2 linked regions of the Caenorhabditis elegans genome follow. The protein of the gene in region 1 interacts with the protein of each later gene in a pairwise test. Each region holds a gene or a part of one and is shown in the gene's direction. Other genes may lie near its edges. The genes, in order: ztf-26 and T22C8.4.

The links.
Region 2: the proteins of ztf-26 (region 1) and T22C8.4 interact in a two-hybrid assay, tested with the Caenorhabditis elegans proteins (one large-scale study listed by BioGRID).

Annotation. Positions count from the first base shown.
Region 1 is NC_003279.8:8,857,968-8,863,212, reverse strand, and holds the start of ztf-26 (C2H2-type domain-containing protein), read left to right. Parts: upstream 1-1,934; 5' UTR 1,935-1,940; coding exon 1,941-2,097; intron 2,098-2,274; exon of another isoform or gene 2,275-2,377; coding exon 2,378-2,452; intron 2,453-2,693; coding exon 2,694-2,849; intron 2,850-5,245.
Region 2 is NC_003280.10:8,621,838-8,625,461, reverse strand, and holds T22C8.4 (C2H2-type domain-containing protein), read left to right. Parts: upstream 1-1,965; 5' UTR 1,966-1,969; coding exon 1,970-2,243; intron 2,244-2,346; coding exon 2,347-2,558; intron 2,559-2,617; coding exon 2,618-2,806; intron 2,807-2,856; coding exon 2,857-2,907; 3' UTR 2,908-3,015; downstream 3,016-3,624. Other genes in the region: T22C8.3 (C2H2-type domain-containing protein), read left to right, coding at 3,488-3,624.

The DNA of each region.
Region 1 (5,245 bases):
AAATCATTTTAGTTTTTGGATTTACGCCTAAATAATCTATATAACAATCGAACGTAGAATTCGGTTGCGCCAAAAAGTAACCAAACTTTGACCCAACTTTTACCAAACTCTTACCCAAATTTACAACGACACAAAAACCATTAACCTTTTGGGGCATAATTTGGGATTACAGGAGTGTTGTAGTCAAATTTTTTATTGCTTTATTAGACTCAAAATTTGTTTTAAAACGTTTCACCAAATCTCTTCGTCCACAGAATTCAAAATACCTAAATCGAGTTGAAAACGCTAGATAATTAACTTTATACCCAAAATTAGACGGTGATTTTTTTTACCACATTCGCTTTTTAGCCATGAAAATGGTATTCTAAAAACTTCAATAACCGCCGAGTTCAAGACAAAAAAGGGAATTTTGAGTCATACCTTTTAGAGCACATTTTGAGATTAAATGGAATTGACCATTTATATGCAAAATTAGTACATTTTCCAAACTTTGAAAATTAATATCTGGCTTCAAACTAATTTTTTTGAAAATCCCCGTAGCCATTTTGTTGCAAATTTTGTGTTCTCAGAATTTCAGAGTGGGAATCAATCAAAATTTAGTGGGAAAGCGCACTTAACGAAAACTGCTCTAGTTCCCCAGTTCTTTTAGATAAAAACAAATTTTTAACTAACAAAATGTTGTTCTTAATGTGCTTCATAGATTTGCAGTTGATAGCTTTTTGAAATCTTCCTTGTGCAACAAGATTGGAGCTGTCAAAGTTGTGCTCTGTAAGAGCATGTGCAAGCAACAATTCGTTCCAATTTCAGCAAAAATGATTGTTTCACCTTCAAAATTGTGAAAAAACATTATATACCAACATTTTATTGGTATTTAATTGTTTTTGAAGAAACTTTTTTTTATTTTATTTGAACGAAAAATGAAAAATTCGCCTTGCTATAGTACTATTTTAGGATCGTTGAGAGCACGTCGTGAGCTTGTTTCTAGAGTTTCGCAGCTAAAAATTTACGAGTAACCGTTTTAAGACATGGGCTATCGAATGACATAGGTCTCATATGCAACTCCAATAGGCACCTTGTGACGGTTCCCTAGTAAGCCACTTCAACATTTCAGGGAAATACATTGAAATTCAAATCAGTTCGCCAAGAGTTTCTTTATTATTTCAGTCATTATGTACTTTTCATTTTCCATTCAACAACGTTTATCAGAAACATATCTCAATGCCTAGATAATAAGTGCAAGGGGTTCAGGCAAAATGGGCGGAGTCTTGCGACGTTCTAGTGAAAAGTAGGAAAAGATATGGAGAGAAATAGAGAGAGACACTCGGCTGTCATAGCTGCCACTTGGTTTAGTCCTCTTTTTCCCTTATTCACATCTCTTCTCTCTGCGCCCCTGATTTTTTCCTATTTGGTTGCCCTGGTTGCCCCGCACAGCCGTTTTTTGGTGTTTAGGAAAACTAAATTTGAAGAAATTTTGATTAGAGAAGATTTATAATTCAGTTACTTTTTCGATTTTCTGTTTACCAAAGGCTTTGACGTTTACTCTCTGAAAGAGTAGGATAGGATCTATGCTACCGTATACCTTCAACATTTCAAGTACAGTGTGCACGTCCAAGATCCCCTTAATTTTTGATACATCAAAGATCGAAAAACTGTGACACGGAAAACAATTGTATATTCATAATCAGCATACTCAAAAAACTTTATTCTCAATTTTCACACGATTTTATCAAATTTAGATAGCGCTATGTAGAAAATCTGAGGGGACATTGCACAGTCCAATCTTTAGACGCGGGCACAAACTTTCTACGATTTTTACGATTTATGGATTTGGTTGGTTCAACTTAACTATAAGTTTCTCAAACTTAAACAATATTTTGAACACATTTTTCCGTCTCGACAATAATAATGTTCAAAGTTTAGGATGTTTTATAAACTTTCAGATGTCCTCTGACGGTTTTCCACACATTGATGATGACGGCATTGGGCCATTGACACCGGAATTTATTGCTAGAATCAGTTCAGGATTTGGAAGACCTTATTTAAGAAATACCCCTGGCGAAGAGATTCAAAAAGATTCAAAGAAGATTTTTAAAAGATGTTAGTTGATTATTTTTCTTTCACAATCAGAAACTAATTCCTTGTTGGTCCAATTTAAACACGTAAGTAACCGGAAATTAGGCTCTGACTAATAAATTTTCTCATGACTTTGCTGTTTCAAAAAAGAATAGTGCATATGAACTTTTCATTTGGAAGATGATTTTGAAGCTTTTTTAGGATGAAATAACTATAGTGCATTGGAGGATTCCTCTTGGGAAGAATATATCACAATACGAAATTTTCAAGAATTGAAAAGAATATAATGTCGTCATAATTTCAGCGAGAGAAGATTTCATAAGTCGATCAAGATCAGAGATTATCAATTGGGTACTGTCAAGTGAAGATCTCGCTAGAGGTAAAAAAAACTCGGCAGTTGTTTCATGTTAAATGTGTAAGAATGTTTGATCGTTTTCTTAACTGAAAAAAGTGCTGCAAATTCTTCGGGGAGCCAACGAATATTTTAATTTGGAATTTGAAAAGTTTGATTCTCGTTAAAGCTTATTTGCAGGTTGTTTCTGAAACTCTTCAAAAATCAGCTCAAAATCAGCTTCAATTTTGTTCAGTAAAGCGCTTAAAAAACATTTGTAAATTTTCAGCATGTGTCTGTCCGTATTGTCTGAAAATTCATTCCCGACGGGATAATGCAAGAGTACATATCAAAAATCATCATAAGGATTATCCAGTTCGTGATTTTATCAAAGACATCGATGCGAGTCTTGCGGAAGTTCGAAGAGCTAATGAAACTGGAAAATGTGAGTGATTTGGAATATATGTGAAAATTCAGTTAAAAGAATCAAGAAGGGAATATGAAATTAGAAACACAATTTTGAAAATTTGGCGATAATAATATTAATTAATTTCAACAACTTTCCTTTTATTGGTATTCTACCCAATTGGTGCTTGTACGGGTAAATATACCCATGCCTAAATATGTAAATTTACAACGTTGTGTCAGTACTGAATTCATGTAACGCCAAAAATGTTGAAGATCGGAAAAATTTTAATAATTGTCATAATTTAAAAAAATCGATGATTCGACATTTTTCTGGAACCCGGTAACAGCTTGAATATGAATCTACAATGTTTATAAATACAGTTCCACCTTTGCCATAATTGCATTACTTACAATTTTGTCTGGAAGTGTTTTCTTATACGAAAAATTCTTCAAACTTTTTCGGCTGCTACAGTACCAAGCCGTGTGAAACTTCTTACATATGCAAATCAGAAACACTGGCATCTTATTCTTGATATTCTAGGATCTAGGAAAATGATTGATGGTGCAAGGGGGAAGTTTTGTGAAAGAGAGAGAGAGAGAGAGAGAGTGGGGGATGTTGGAAAAAGTGATAGGGGGAGAAGAATAGGTTTACAACACTTTGGATCTTAATGGCTCAGCTCATGGTTGAGAGGGAAACCCTCTAGATGATAGTAAATTGCGAGTATTCTGCAAACTATTGTACTGCCGGGAACATTTTCGTAGTTTTCAATTTACAGGATAAGGAAATATTCATAAAGACACAGAAAAACTCGCTATATGTAATTAGAAATTGAATTTATATTACTAGGCTTATCGGAACAGTGACGTCACTTTTAGAATCAGACTTCTTTTTTTTTGAAAAAGGAAAAAATGTCCATTATTGATTGGCATTCTTATGACGTCATACGTTATAATATAGACTCGTAATAAATTTAAAATTGAAGTAGTGTGAATTGGGGTTTTGCTTTATAATACCAAAAATAGTCTGAACTACAGAAATTCGAAAAAAGATATATGTTAAAATTTGTGGAAGAAGAAAAGCACCTTTCTTTAGTTTCCAATTTGAATTCGCTCCAAAATGAGAACTGAACGCCCAATCAGCGAATAGCATCATCCGCTTTAACCAATCATAAGGATTGTGGAAAGTTCTATGTCGTTTATTGGTTCAAAAGTGGGTGGCGTGGCTAGTCATTTTGGGCTGGGCAAATTTCAATTTTTTGCCTAAAATACCAATTTTGGAGACATCCCGAAAAATGGGAGGCGATATTTGTTAGTTGTTTGTTTTATTCAAAACACAACTCCAAAATATATGTTCAAAGTTTCTAGAATTCAGATCCAAAACTACAGTAATCCTTGAAATCTCATATGCTCTTCAACTAAAGTACCTCATTTTATTTTTCTCTTCCCTTCCCTTCCCATCACATTTAGAAAAGTGTTCACATTCATGTGTCAGTCTCTAAAAAGACATTGGATCTCCTGCTATGTGCACAGATTTGCCTCTTCTTTCTCCCTTTTAAGGACCCTGGACTCTCTTCGGACTCTCTCTTTTTGCAGAAAAGAAGAAAAGAAGAGCCAGGAGCACAGAAAGACATCCCCAAGGGACACCAACGACACATACAAGTGTATCCGGTTGCCACGTCACAGGCGGGCCCCATCCATCCATCTATATCCTCTCCAGAGCTTCCTCTATTTTAGAACTGGAGATTGAGCATCTCAGACACTTCAATTCTTCTCATCGTCCGTCTACAAATCTTCCACTCGAGACGGGCTTTAATGATCCGCGGAGATTCTGCTCCCTAGCGACGACGGGCTCTTTTGGATTTTCACCTGTCAGAGCTCATTGTGCCTACTCAGAATTCTGACCAAAAGACATTGATTTTTCCTAATAAATTCATCATTTTACTAATTTTATATTATTATTGTTTCATTATTTATTTTTTTTATTATTTATTAATTCAAAATATTAATTCATTGGATACAGGCGTTTTCTACAGTAGTTTTCAAGTTTTCATCAATTTTTGAAAAAAAAAACAGAATTACCGAAGATGATAGATTTTTGGAAATTTAATAAGATTTTTTATGTATTTTAATTTATTTAATTTGAAAGCATGTTCATATGTAAAAAAAAACTAATTTTCTAAATATGCTGAGTATCCTAAGTATAATGATTCAAAAATACATGAATGCATATTCCATACGCTCAATGAACTATCGAATAATTGTATCACTTATCCAAAATTTTGATCCTATCTGTTTTAATCTTCCATCAATTTAAAACAAAGTAATCCGATCCCCCCGTCTCTCTTGTCGTTTCTTTTCCCTTGGACCACGCTTTTTCATCAGCACTTTCCATCTTTTTCTTTTTGTTTTTCATAGATTTTGATTTTTGTAGTT
Region 2 (3,624 bases), on another chromosome or scaffold:
TTGATGTTGTCTGTCTCTTGGCTCTCCGCGTTATCAGCCTCCTCTCTTCCTCCAATGATGGCGGCATCATAAAAGAGGCACCGGTGCCCCGTAATCACCTTTTTCACTTTTTCGTCTGCAGTGTCCACACAGACTCTCGTCATTTTAGGGTTATTAATCAGTGTCCTTTTTGATAAGAGCTCACTCAATTGAGTACTTGTGCAACCTGAAAAGAGGTGAGTTGTGTGATTTGAATCGAACAACTGAACAAAAAGGGTGGAGCAGTTAAATGAGAGGAAGGAAAAATCAAGGAAAATTGATACAGTTCTGGAAAATTATTTCAAGAGTTCTTCTGAGAAAGAAAAAAACTATGAGCATAGATGTGACAAGTTGATAATTCTGAAGGGTCAATTCTCAAGGGGTACTGTATGGTTAATAAAAACATTTTTTCACTTCGCAATTGTATTTTCTTGAATGTAAATTGTCAGTTGGGCATAAATTACTCTGAGATTCGTGGCAACTGGGGACGGGAATTGCATACCGTTTTTTCCAGTTGATCCATTTTTCTACAATAATTTTTTTCATTTAGAAAATTATATTATTGAAACTAACTCAATTTTGCATTGAATCAGGTTTTCTCATAAAAAATATCCAGTTCAAGAAGAAGTGCGGAATTTTCATCTACAGTGGATGCAAATTCGACAGTAACCACCGTCCATTTTTTTTAGAAATCTTAATGTTACGGTATACTTTTTTTGAGCCCCAAATATCTCGTAACTCTTTGCTAAAGCAAAGAAGATTTCTGCTTTGTGAAATTGAATATTGATGCATTCAAGACAATTCGACCTCCTCAAAACCAATGAACCTGGACGATTAACGACGTGCACACGACGACCCCGAGAACCAAGTGACAAATGCTCGTTTTTTGTTTCGTTCGGCAGCAAAAAGTAAGAGAGATAGATGAAAAGATGCACTTTTAGAGTTTTAGAATCGCGGAGGTCTTGAGGGAAAAAAATGAGAATGGCACCTGAAATGACAGGCAAATTTCAGACTTAGATGCGGGGATCTTGTGAAAGTAGCGTTTCTCGCTAAATCTCGCCAACGAACGGTTTTTTCAAAGCAAACTAAAAACTGATACTTTGCATTGATTATCATGCCAGACGGTATTTAAGATTATTAAATGAATGACTATTAAACTGTGGGTGCTAGCAAATGTTCTGCACTAGCGATGTTGGGGCACTCCTCGGAATTTAAAAATAATTGCATCAAATCTCTGAAAATCCTTCCAACGGTGAAAAGTGAAACAGATGTTGCTAATCCGTTACCGTACTACCAAGAAAACCGAGAAGTTTCCGTCGTGCAGTATAACTATCCTTCATGGTCACTTACAGAATCGGTAAACAGCCACGGACAGGCGTAAGATTTTATGCACATCGTATTATACTTTGTAAGCTGTAATATTTTATTTTAACATAAAATTACTGTACATATTTTGCTTCCTCTATGACAGTTGCGTACCTTTCAGTATTGCACTGCTTCATCTGTTCTTTAAACTTATTAGCTTGTCATAATGTTGTCATAGACAGGCAACTTGCAATTTATATAATTATCGTTTATAATTATCAAATCTATCATTTTTACAAATTGTTCAAAACAGTTCCATTTCTATTGTTGTCTCTATTTCTCTCCCGTCTGCCAATACTATTTCACTGTCGTTGCAAGTGTTTTGTTAGTTAAAAAGGTCAGGTCATTTCCTCAATCTGTTCGCACCGTGCAGAGTATCGCACCGCAATAAACATATATCCAGAAGAAAGGAAAGATGACAGTCTTCTCTTTCTTGTTTCCCTCTACTTTTTGCTCACTTGTTGTGGTCATAGTCATCTGCTCAACATCACTCTTAACACATTGCACAACAGCTTTTTTTAAATTTTCTTTAAAATATGTCTTTATTTTGAGACATTTGCATCAAACTCCCGTTTTTCTTTCAGATATGAATACTAGCAATTCAACATCAACTTCATTTGGTAGTGATCAAATGGATATTGAAAATCACTCACCAAAGCTATCCGGTGTTGCTCCCAAAAGACGAAGAATTGATAAATCTTCAACTTCATCGGAAGCAAAGATACAAAGAATGGAAGACGCGATGAAGAAAAAATTGGAAAAGGAACAGAAAGAAAAAGCTCGATTGAAGAAACGAGAAGAGACTTTGAAGAAGAAATCTGAAACAGCTGCAGCAAAGAAGAACAAAATTGTTGGAGCTCGTAAGTTAACCAAAATAAATATGCTCAACATTCTGTAAATCACTTTATCATCCCACAATCAAAACCTTAACTGTTACCAAAATTGAACTCGAAAGGTTTTCAGCAAGCGAAGACCCGAAAATTCGAGCTCTCCAATGTGATATCTGCTTTGCATTATTTAAAAATGCTGATAAGAAAAAACGCCATGACCATTCTCATAAAGATGAGCCAGAGGTATACTGTCCAATGTGCAATGCTCCAATCAAGTATAAATACAACTTGAAGCAACATATGAACAAATGTCAACCGAGCCAGAAAGAAATGGAACAAGGCAGTGTGAGTTGAAACTTTTAAGCAAAATGTGTTATATTTTGAATTTCGAAAACTTTTTTCAGATGCTCGCCAAAGCTTACCCGGACTACTTACGTCAACTTCAAGAAGCTGCAGTTAATCCGTCTCTTCCAATGCCAACTTTGAATGGAATGCCATACAGAATGGATCGATATTCATTTGTCACTGGATTCGATATGAGTCTTGATGTTCATTTGGATGTGATGCTCCCGAAATATCCCACAGACGTTTTTGTATGTAATTTGCAGTTATACGTAACATTATGATAATAGTATTTTTTTAGTCAGAAGATGAGGACGCCTTAGACGATGTCAATTTGTTTGATGAGAAGTGATTAGATATTTGTATTCGTTATGGAATTTCATAATTGTCAATTCTTTGTTCATTTTGCCACAGCTGGTATTTCAATCTACATTTTTTCTCGTTAATAAACATCATACGGAATTATTTTTGAAAATTAATTCGAAGCATCAAACTTAAAAGTATAGCTTGGATCGGGCAAATAATTTTGGAACTTTAGCAAACTATATTCTCGTGTTACTAAACATTTTTTCCAGTGAGACTACCGCGTTCTTCTCTCTCACATACAAGACCCCCCACCCGTCCATTTCAAATTCGCTCTATTGAACTACATGTTTCAAACACCGCAAATTTGAGCTCACACAGCTGAGCTCTCATGCTTTTATCAGTTTTTTCTTCTCTCATCCAACTAAATTATCTGTTTAATTTCTCGATTTCTATTCGTTGGTTGTCATAGTGACGATCGATAATTATAATAAAGCACAAGGACTGATTATATACTCAAAAATTATGAAAAAATGCTTACATTTATACTTTGTCTTATGTACATTTTAAATTGATGATTCTTCATGAAAAGCTATGTACCAACAAACTTTGAAAATTTTGTTTCAGTCATGGCAACCACCGAACAACTGGCTAATACCACGCAAAAAGAGCCTGTTATTGATTTAGATCAAGATAGCAACATGGAAATTGCTCATAAAATACAAAACCAAACAAAAAGACTCCCAATTTCCGAACCGGCAAATAA